3 linked regions of the Mus musculus genome follow. The protein of the gene in region 1 purifies or fractionates together with the protein of each later gene. This does not show direct contact. Links are inferred from orthologs where the notes say so. Each region holds a gene or a part of one and is shown in the gene's direction. Other genes may lie near its edges.

The links.
Region 2: the proteins of Sorbs3 (region 1) and Wasl purify together in Homo sapiens (co-immunoprecipitation; 3 studies listed by BioGRID and IntAct, with this or other methods). This does not show direct contact. The link is inferred for Mus musculus from reciprocal best matches to the Homo sapiens genes SORBS3 and WASL.
Region 3: the proteins of Sorbs3 (region 1) and Dlg5 purify together in Homo sapiens (co-immunoprecipitation; 3 studies listed by BioGRID and IntAct, with this or other methods). This does not show direct contact. The link is inferred for Mus musculus from reciprocal best matches to the Homo sapiens genes SORBS3 and DLG5.

The regions. Positions count from the first base shown.
Region 1 is NC_000080.6:70,183,647-70,187,294, reverse strand, and holds part of Sorbs3 (vinexin), read left to right. Parts: intron 1-310; coding exon 311-436; intron 437-2,158; coding exon 2,159-2,467; intron 2,468-3,187; coding exon 3,188-3,288; intron 3,289-3,522; coding exon 3,523-3,629; intron 3,630-3,648. UniProt on the Homo sapiens protein: Vinexin alpha isoform promotes up-regulation of actin stress fiber formation. Vinexin beta isoform plays a role in cell spreading and enhances the activation of JNK/SAPK in response to EGF stimulation by using its third SH3 domain.
Region 2 is NC_000072.6:24,662,319-24,666,066, reverse strand, and holds the start of Wasl (neural Wiskott-Aldrich syndrome protein), read left to right. Parts: upstream 1-1,071; 5' UTR 1,072-1,423; coding exon 1,424-1,531; intron 1,532-3,748. UniProt on the Homo sapiens protein: Regulates actin polymerization by stimulating the actin-nucleating activity of the Arp2/3 complex. Involved in various processes, such as mitosis and cytokinesis, via its role in the regulation of actin polymerization.
Region 3 is NC_000080.6:24,151,920-24,155,567, reverse strand, and holds part of Dlg5 (disks large homolog 5), read left to right. Parts: intron 1-314; coding exon 315-427; intron 428-878; coding exon 879-968; intron 969-1,186; coding exon 1,187-1,337; intron 1,338-3,648. UniProt on the Homo sapiens protein: Acts as a regulator of the Hippo signaling pathway.

The DNA.
Region 1 (3,648 bases):
CCCACATCTGTAGCTCTGTAGTTGGACTGGCTTCTATCTTAGCACTCACCATCCTGTTTTTGCCTGTCCCACTGCACATCAGTCCACTGGAAAGTCTTCCTCCAGGAAGCCTTCTTGGATGACCCCTCTCACCCGTGCCTGCCAATACTCACACTGCCACCCGCTAGGCTGTATCTGGTCAGTGTGTAGATGTGACATCTGACCAGGGACAGCCTTGTCCACGTTGTCCTCTGCATGGCTCCCTCTTCTGGGAGTGTGGGTGTGTATCCATTGCTACCTGGTCTGAACTTTGCTCACACCATCCCTTCAGGTTCTGCCTGCCGATGAGATTCCCAAGCCCATCAAGCCGCCCACATACCAGGTGCTGGAGTATGGCGATGCAGTAGCCCAGTATACCTTCAAGGGAGACCTGGAGGTAGAACTGTCCTTCCGAAAGGTGAGGCCAGTCAGGGCATGGTAGAGTGGGGCAGGGGAAGGCGAAGGGGAGCCTGCAGAAAGAAATGAATATTTTTTTAAAATGTCAACTGTACCCAGAATTTTAGTTTTTTTCCAGTTTCTCGGGATAGGTTACCCCCAATCTTTTATTCTTTAACCCCAGTACTTGTGACTGAACCAAGGGTCCCTGTCACACAGGGCAAGTGCTCTATTACAGCATTTTATTTTTAATGTTGGGGGGGGGGCTCTTGCTAAGTTACCCAGGCTGGCCTTGAACTCATTCTGTAGCCCAGGCTGGCCTAGAACTCACTGTATAGTCCAGGCTGGCCTTGAACCGTTTTTTAAAAACACGAATGAGTATTTTGCTTGTGTGTATGTATGTACGTACCACATGTATGCAGTGCCTATGGAGGCCAGATGTAAGCCCCAAGCCCCTGAAATAAAAGTTAACAGATGGTTGTGAGCCTCTATATGAGTGCTGGGAATGGACTTCCTGGTCCTTTGCAAGAACACCAGATACTCTTAACTACTGAGCATCTTTCCAGCCGCAAGGCCTTGACCTTGTGATAGTCTTGCCTTAGCCTCTCAAATAGCTGGAGTTATAGGCCTGTTGCATGGCTTGGCCAACATGTTCTACTTTTGAAAGAATGTTATGAACAATGTCTTGCTCTGTCATTCAGGCTGGCCTAGAATTCACTGTGTAGGCCATGACGGCCTGGAATTCGCCGTAGTCCTCCTACCTCAGCTGCTCAAATACTAGGATTACAGTATGGTATGAGCCATCAGGCTTGACCCTACCGTTGTGTCTTTAATCACCTGGTTGATGATCGTAATCTACATTTTAAAAGGACTAGAAATAAGTTTTGTGTGCAAAGGGCTCTGTATCAAACATGAGGCCCTACGTGTGTACATACATGTATGCATGTGTGTATGTGGGTTCTGGGATGTTACTCACAAGCATGTTTGGGGCTATAGATTATGGTAAAGTATGAAAAGTTTCTGTGCGATGAGGAACTGGCCTTCCTTTGATTGAATTGGGGTTGGAGGCCTAGTGAGTAACCCTAGGAAAGACTGGGTCCACAGATATGCAGAAAAGGGGTGGTGGGTGGCTGGGAAGGAGAGGACAGGACAGTGTGGGGTGGGGACATCCTTCTTAGAGTAGCCTGCTGACATGCTGGCACTTCTGTGCCAACCTCTATCAGCTTGTCCTGAGAAGGCCGCCTGCCCTGGGAGAGGGTCACAGGACACGTGTGTCAGGGCAGGACTGAGTTGTGACGCCATGCTACGATCTGTCCATTGCTATGTAAAAGACCACGCTGGATTCTGGGTCTCAACACAGTGTTTGGTCTTCCCATTTAAGGAAACCAAGCTTAGAGGGGCAGAGCAGCTTGCCCAAGGCCACATAGCTTGGACTTGGCACTGGGGAATTGTAATTGGGGTTTGTAATTAGCGATTGTCGGTAGGGATTGATAGTGTTGTGGGCTTTGCCAGGGGGGAAAAAGCTGATCCAAATCCAAATGCTGCCTGCTATGGGGCGAGTTAATCTTCTACTTGTTCCTGACTCCTCTCTTTTTAGCTTAGATAACCTGCTGACCCTTTCTGAGCCTGATCTCTCATACATGTTAAAGTGTTAGGCTTGAATGAAGTGACCTGGGTGAGCCACCCTCAGGTGTGTGATGCTCAGGAAACCCCTACTGACAAGAACTTCTCTCTGACCCCTCAGGGAGAACGCATCTGCCTGATCCGCAAGGTGAACGAACATTGGTATGAGGGGCGCATCACTGGCACTGGACGCCAGGGCATCTTCCCTGCCAGCTACGTGCAGATAAACCGAGAGCCCCGGCTCAGGCTTTGTGATGATGGTCCCCAGCTCCCTGCATCACCTAACCCGACAACCACTGCTCACCTAAGCAGCCACTCCCACCCCTCCTCAATACCTGTGGACCCCACTGACTGGGGAGGTCGAACCTCCCCTCGACGCTCCGCCTTTCCCTTCCCCATCACCCTCCAGGAGCCCAGATCCCAAACCCAGGTGAGGTGGCCTGCTTCTCACACTGCCTTCCTATCCTCTGACTGGTCCACACTGGTAATCCTTCCTGGACAGCTTCCGGAGAAGCGGGAAGCTCGGCAGAACTTAGCCTAGCTCTGTCTTGCTTTGGCCTTAACCTCCTTAAGGCTGTTCTGATCTTTGATCCTCCAGCTCAGGGAGGGAGGCATGGGCAGGCCCAGCTAGGGGACCTGACCCTCCAAGATGTCACTTTTTCAGTGTAGATCTTCAGCAAGGTACAGCACTAGGTATCAGGGCTCTGGTATTTGCATGCTATATGGCCCACAGGCATAGAGCTTGTACTCTTTGGGTTTAGTCTCCCTGTATCAAAAAGCTAACAGTTCCCACAGTGGGAGACTAATGAGGTAGGTTTGAGCAGAAGTGGTTGGCAGCCCTTCACTGTGCTCTTGGCCCTGGGTCCACATGTTCACCCAGCACGCCTCTCTGAGCAGGTACAACTGCTCCTGGCTCCTGCTGAGGCCTGGTTTGTCCTTGCTGGAACTCAGAAGTCCAGCCATTCACATTGCTTGGGACCTGGGCCCACATCCAAGTGCCTCTGAAGTGAGCTAGTCAGATCCACCCTCTTGGGCCTGGGAGCTTGATGAAAAAGCATGAAAACAACTCCTGAGACTGTGGGACCCCTAGCTACTACGTCTACCTCATACCTCCTCCTCATGCCCCTTCTTTCTTCCCGTGAACCCCCAGAGTCTCAATACCCCTGGACCAACCCTGTCCCATCCTCGAGCCACCAGCCGTCCCATAAACCTGGGACCCTCCTCCCCAAACACAGAGATACACTGGACTCCGTGAGTACCAGCTGGGGAGGTTTGCCTTGGGAGGGAGTTGTTGGCAGGCAGTACTAATCCAGGGTCCTACCATTGCCCCTCACCTACAGGTTGGAGAGACTACCAGGTAGAGCTAGTCTCTTGGTGCTTAGGTGATGGGAACGGGGCACTGGAAGTGACAGCTCTTTGCAGAACTTCCAGCAGGTCTGGGAAGGAGCCCGAGGCCTCTGGCTGCCATGCTGCCATTTCCCACAGGTACCGGGCCATGTACCAGTACAGGCCCCAGAATGAGGACGAGCTGGAACTTCGAGAGGGGGACCGTGTGGATGTCATGCAGCAATGTGACGATGGCTGGTTTGTGGGTATGTAGCCTGTGGAGGG
Region 2 (3,748 bases), on another chromosome or scaffold:
GTTTATCAATGTATTGAGAGCTATCAGAAATTTACCAGAGTTTGTCATAAAAGTTGAATATGCAACTGTTTAATTAGAACTAGGTAATTAGCAAACATCGTTAGTACAACTTATGTGATACGTTGTATGATTAATGTTAATAGTAGGATGTACATTTTATAGAATTCGCTGTAATCTGGTTTATCATCTCTATATTCCAATTTTTTTAAATTAAAGCTTTTTAGTTTTCAACCAATGATTTTATACTAACCTTTAATATTATGAAACACAGTAATGAATTCTCATTATTTACTTCTGCTGGGAATATTGCTCAGCTGGCTGAGTATGCACCAGGCCCTAGGTCCCTGCACCTAGAATACAGAGCCATGAAATTAACTCGTAAGGAAAAAAGAGGTAAGGTGTATTCCTACACGACATTCCCAAACGCGTGCATTCATCCTGAATTAAAGAGACAAGGTGCTTCCAACTTGAGATAGAGAAAGATTGAGAGGGGTAGTTTCCAATTCACAAGGCAAGGAAAAAACTACACACACCTATCCCACGAGATCCGCCAGGCGGGTGGTGGACGCCTTTTGCGATTCTGTTTTTGACATCTCTGAAGATGTCTATCCTGATCTTAGCAATGTCCCTCCACGCCCCGTTGGCGGCCGGGACTAAGATCCAGAAACCCGAGGCACCTGCGGCTCTGACCGAAACTACGCCGGCCGACCTTTCTCTCCAGCTAAACTAGATCTCCCTGACAGGCGGCCTGAGAGTCTCGCTTCGATGCCTAACAAACACTGGCTACGCGGACCCGACGCTCCGCAAAGGTGGGCGCTGCTGCAAGGGGGCGTCCGGCTCGGCAGTCAGTGTAGGAGACCCGCCAGCCCTGCCTCGCTCTGAGTCTGCGCACGCGCGCGGTGGTCATTGGTGGGGGCGACTAGCCTGCAACAAGACCTCAACCGGGATGAGCCTTGCCGCTTCCGGAAGGGGCGGGGCCTGGGTAGGACACGCCCCGGCACGCAGCAACCGAGGGGGTGTCCCGCCTTGCCGAGTTTCCGGCGCTCTCCCCCGCGTCCCGCGTCCCGTGGTCTCGCCCGCCCCCGCTGCCATGTTGGATTGTGCGGCTGCCGCCGCCGCCGCTGCCGCCGCCGCCGCCAGAGGACTGGAGGAGTAGGGAGTTTAGCGCAGCCGCCGGAGTGCTAGGACAACGACCATCCAGCCGGAGCTGAGCAGGGCGGGAGCCCGGAGCTTCCCTGTCGGCGCGCGGCCCGAGGGCGCCCGCCGTCATCTCCTTCCCTCGGCCTCCGCGCGCCGGAGGAGCGACGACGGGATGCTGCGGCTGTGACCGCCGGCTCGCGCCCCTGTCACCCAGAGTGGGACCCGAGTGCTCGCCCGCCGCCAGAAGTGACGACCCTGGACGCTCCACCCCACCGGCGACACCATGAGCTCGGGCCAGCAGCCCCCGCGGAGGGTCACCAACGTGGGCTCCCTGCTGCTCACCCCGCAAGAGAACGAGTCTCTCTTCTCCTTCCTCGGCAAGAAATGTGTGGTCAGTAGCCGAGACCCCCCTGTCGCCACCCCCCAACGTCTACTGGCGGGTTCGGGCTGGGGGGGAACGGGACTCAAGGGTAGGAGGGAGAAGGGGGGCAGGCTCGGCACGGCTGGGGTGCTGCTGCGGGCCAGGCCTCCAGCCTCCCGGGCCCTGGGGCTCCCCTCACCCAGCTCTCCGGGTGCAGGCCTGCCCGGCCCGGAGCCACCTCCCCCAGCTGCTGGAGAACAAGGGAGTGTCACCTCCATAGGCCTGCCCAGTAGCCCAGGTCCGCCGGGCCGGGCCGGGTCCGTGCCCTTGCTGCAGGTTCAAACTTTACTCTAGACCACAAGGGGATTTTGTTCGTGCATCAGCAGCTTAAGATCTCAGGACAGGATCCCAGCATTGGCCCTTGCTTCACTTCCCACTTCTGGATCTGGGTTATCTTCTTTAACAATGCTAGAGGTTTTAGGAATGAATAGATGGGGAAAGAAGCGAATTGGATTTTCGGTCCGCCTTAAGGATTCCGGGAGAGAATAAAGTGCAGTGCAGGTTCATGGACACTTAGGATCAGAGCAAGGGCAGGAAATGCGCCTGCTCCCAATTGCAAAAAACAAAAACAAAAAAACAAAAACGGGGTTTATTTCTCCAGCAGAAACTAGGCCTAGTTTCTGCTCTCCGCCCCACTGTGGGTTTTTCTTTTCCTCCCTGGCGTTGTGGGGTGGGGTGTAGGGTGCTGTTCGCTCCCAAGCCATGCGTAGGGAAGCGACAGTTTCTAATAGCTCACGGCCTTTGGGATCAAAAGTGGTTCTGAGTTTGGTGCTGTGAGGAGGCCCATTCCAACCCCAGATGGCGGATTGGGAGCAAGCAGTTCTGTGGGAAGGGGAATGGGTGTTATTGACGGAAGCATTCATTACGTTGGCTGCAGGCCTTTCTGGGGTGGGGAGGTTCTCTGGGTGAAGGCCTTATCTTGATCTTCCTGAGGTGACTGAGTTGAAAGGGGGATTGTTGGAATGCTAGCCGGCTCCCTTTCTGCCGTGTTTGCTAGCTCTCACAGAGCCTGTGCCTCTGGAACCCAGGAAACACCCAGAGAAGTTTCAGCCGAGCTGAACCATTTCATATCCTCCCTTGGCAATGTTGGAGATGTCAGAATCAGACTACACCTGCTGAAGAAGTTAAGAGGAGACAGTTTCTGGAAAGTTACCAGATTAATTGTTAACTTCATGATCTGACTGTTCATATCGACTTTGGGAAACCAAATCATTCCATCGGACTTAAGATGTATTTCTTGTTCTAAAATTTAGACTTTAAAGAACACTGCGTTCACTGACTAAAGTAGAAAACAGTGGTTCAAAAAAAGAAGAAAAAGAGTTTGGGAGAAAATTTACTTTAAAGATGAACCAAGTCTGTCCTCTATAGTTCTTTAAACAAATGAGAAAATGGAGCTCTTGGCCCCAAGTCACATAGTAATTTAGGAATGTAACTGGAACTATATGCCCAGTTACTTTGTACTTTCCACTACATCATGTTGTTTGGTGAGGATTTTGTTCCCCTTATTGATTTGTCTCTCAAAGTGGTGTTAAAGGAATAACTACTTCATTTTTTACATAAAATTAATAGAAATAAAATGTAAATTTCTTAAAGCAGCATTAATTTTTGCATAATTTTCAGTTTAGGGAAATCTTTTTATTTTATTTTTATTTTAATATGAGCTGCCTGCAAGCAGGGTAGAGGTCATCTTTGCTGGTCTAGTACCTTTAGTGTACAGTCTATCAAACATTAAGTAGCTCACTGTGTTCACATACCAGGCCCGTGAACTTCAGGCATGGCAGACATTCATTTGTGTTCTAGTATATGCGTTGCTCAGAGCTTACTGTAGTGTTTACCCAGGGTTTCAAGGAAATGACAGATGTGGGAGTATATTTCGATAGACAAAGATAACACGGCTCACTGTAAGCATAAGTGGGTTACTGAAATGGTTACAAGTAGTCAGTGCTCAATTTCTTTACATCATATATTATTAATCAACTTTACCTTTTGAATTGCAGTAACTTAAAACCACATTGTTGTTGCTTTCTTGTGAAAATTACTGTAAAATATGAAGCCTTTGGCTTAATAGAGAGCAATGTAAAATTGGTGTTATGGAATAATCCTAATAGGCTTTGCTCAGAGGGTTTTTTTGTTTGTTTTGTTTTGTTTGTTTGTTTGTTTTGTAGTTTAAAGCAACAGTGAAATAAA
Region 3 (3,648 bases), about 46 Mb from region 1:
CGCTGCTCTATTCAGGACCCTCAAGTGCACATCCAGCCTCCCCCGGACCATGGCCACTCAAGGCAAAGTCTTGTTCTCCCTGTCCATCCAACCCCCGTACTGCCCCTTGTGTGGTCCCTCTGCCGCTGATGGGTCCTGAATAGATGCTGTCTGTGAGAAGCAACTGGTGTCAGTCTGCTATCCTAGGCAAACAGCAAGGACACTTTACTCTTTTGCCTTAGGGAGGTTCAGGCTGTTTACTGGGTTTCTCCTTGGTGGTCATGTCTGGTCTTAGCCCTTCTACAGGGCCCCTCATCTTTCTGATTCACTCACAGTGTCCAGCATCAGGGACGCCTCAGCCTGGACCTGAGCCACAGGGCCTGCAGTGACTACTCTGAGATGAGAGCCTCCCAGGGTTCCAACTCTCTGCCCTCCAGTGCCCGCCTTGGTAACTACCACTGGTGCTCGGGTTTTAGTACCCAGGGCTCTGGGTGGGCTGCCCACGTGACTCCTTTCCCTCAGCTCCCTCCTCTGGACGGCTGATATCCTGTGAGCTGTCCATCGTATCAATGTTTTCTGAGCTGGGGGAAATGTAACCCAGAGGGGGTGGGGTGGGGTTCTGTTGCCTGGTAGAGACCCTGGGAGAGGTCTTTAGGGATTCAGAGAGAAGATGGAACATCTGCTGCAGCAGCTAGGCGACTGTTGCATTTTGGGGCATGTGCTCCTGTTCTGGAACATTCCGGATCTGCTTCTCTGTAGTCCTCCATTGATTATTTCCCTCAGGGATATTCAACAGCCCCTGTGTGTCACTCATTGTGCCTACTGCTGAGTGGAGGTGAGGATCTAGGGCTGTGGTTTAGTCCCGAGGCTTGACACCGTGTCTCCTCCTGGAACAACAGGCTCTTCCAGTAACCTGCAGTTCAAGGCTGAGCGGATTAAGATCCCGCTAACACCAAGATATCCCCGGTCTGTCATGGGCTCTGACAGAGGTAAGAACTGGGCGTTCCCTCCTGTGCCTGCTGCCCCTGGGTCCCCTTCTAGTCATCTCTGTGGGCTGCTGAAAGATGACTGAGCCTAGCCCTCACCTGTTGCTGTGGGGACAGTAGGCAATGTGGAGACCTTCATCAGGGCCCCGGTCATAGGATGAAACCCACACAGCTTGTGTCTAGATGGCAGTCAGTCACGTGCACCCCTTCTCTCTTGGCAGGCTCACTGTCACATTCTGAATGTAGCACTCCTCCCCGGTCCCCGCTGAATATCGACACCCTGTCCTCCTGTAGCCAGCCTCAGACCACAGCCTCCACTTTACCCAGGATTGCGGTCAACCCCTCTTCCCATGGGGAGCGGAGGAAGGACAGGTGAGTGTAATGGACATCTGTGTCTGGGGTATCCCCGGGCACTCCATTTCTGCTCTGGTGATGGGGTAGTCCAGAGTGTCTGAGGCCTACTGTAGAAACAGTGGGTGCTGGAGACACAGCAGGTCCGATGTAGATGGCAGGAACAGAGCAAGGTGGGCTCTTCCCCCAAAGCAGTGACTAAGCAAGATGCTGGAGATGGTCTGGTGGTGACAGCAATGTGGAAGGGCTTGCTGCTTAGCTGCTTGCCAGGCCCGTTTACAACGCCACTCTAAGAGTCTCAGTTGCATGAGTGGTCCTACAATTAAGTCTGTTTCACAGCAGTGGGCTGGATGCAGACCACCTGCAGGAGCTGTGTGGATGCAAACTGACTGCACTGAACGGGGCTCATTCTTATCTCTTGGTCTTTGGCCCCCACGTATAGTTTGCTGTATCTTTGGTTCTTTTGCCCTGCCCCAAAGTTTATTTTATTTTACTTTTTTTTTTGGAGAAATGAAATGCGCACAGGGAAGTTGATCTCCGTGAGTTCCAAGATAGCCAAGTAAAAGCCTGTCTTACTACATAGTAAGACCCTGTCGCAAAAAAACAAACAAACAAACAAAAAACAAGAAAAAAATTACATAAATAAATAAAGCAGGTCATATTTAATTTGAAAATCTCAACTTGTGAGAAAAGTATTACCCCAAGAGCCCAGGGGAACAGGTGTATCGAACCCCTGGGGCCCTGTCCCAAGGCCTCAGGACCTAGGGCAGTCAGTGTTCAGGGTCCTTTGTGACAGGCACACATGAGAATGTAGAGGGATTTGCTTAGCTCGAGCTCTGGCTTCTCCAAATGATGTGTGTCTTCAGAAGTAGTAAGGGCCTTGTCACGTGTGTGACGCACCCATCATCAGCACCCTGGTTTGGGAGAGAGCCAGGTAGGTGTGAATGATTCCTACCCTGCCAGGGCTCCCAGAAAAGTCAGAGATGAGTGATGGGAAGATGGAAGAAGTAGACAGCTGCTACTCTCCCTTCAGATGCCGTTGCTCACAGTCTTTGTGAGGCCTTTGTCAAAATCTGCCCATGCATAGATAAGACAGCTTAGTTAGGGTTTCATTCTTGTGATGAGACACCATGACCAAGACAACTCTCATAAATATAAAAGCAAGCATTTAATTGGGGCTGGCTTACAGTTTCAGAGGTTTAGACATCATCATCATGGTGGGGTGCTGGAGGAACTGAGAGTTCTATACCTTGATCCAAAGGCAGCCAGGAGGAGACTCTGTTCCACAGTTGGGCAGAACTTGAGCACTAGGAATCCTCAAAGCCGGCCTGCACAGTGACATACACTTATACCAACAAGCCACACCTCCTATTAGTGCTATTTCCCATGGGCCAAACAATATATTTAAACCACCACACTGACATACTTGAATAAAAACAAACCCACTGACATAAACATGCATAATAGGTCACTAGGAGTTTCTCCTACCCAGTTTCTCTGTCTTTTCGTGTCAGGAAACCCTGATTCATAGGGTCATTTGGAAGTTTCTTGGGTGTGTGTGTGTCTGTCTGTCTGTCTGTGTCTGGCTATGTGTGTTTAAGTATCCATGTGTGTGTCTGTCTGTCTGTGTCAGTCTGTCTATATCTGGCTATGTGTGTATGTATCCATGTGTGTGTCTGTGAGTTTGTCTATGTATATGTCTGTGTGTCTGTGTCTATGTCTGTGTGTGTGTTGAGGTATGTGTACATGAGTGCAGGTGTGCCCTTGGAGGTCAGAAGAGGGTATCAGATCCTGTGACATTGGAGTTACAGGTGGTTGTGAGTGGTCCAACATGACTGCTGACCACTGAATCAGGTCCTGAAAGAGCAATACACATTATTAAGAGTGAAGGTAATCTCTCCAGCCCCAGCATCTTAGCTTTATTGTGACATTATTAGATTTGGTCACCCACGGTTTTTGTTTTTGTTTTTGTTTTTGTTTTTTTAAAGACAGGGTTTTTCTATGTAGCCCTGGCTGTCCTGGAACTCACTCTGTACACCAGTCTGTCCTCAGTCTCAGAGATCTGCCTGCCTTTGTCTCCCAAGTGCTGGGACTAAAGACATGCAGCACCACACCTTTACAAGCTAAGCACACTATGCTAATGTGGGCAGAGGCGGCTGTAGTCGTTGGATGAGGATGAACTTTTCATGGAGACTAGCCCTGCTCCCTTCTTGGTGTGAGTCTACTGCTCCATCTTTTTAGGCTGGGCTATGAGGATGGTCTTTAGATGGTTGTCTGTTTCGGGTCCTTGTAACTACCTGGCACCCTAATACATGAGCAATGGCAGAACTGA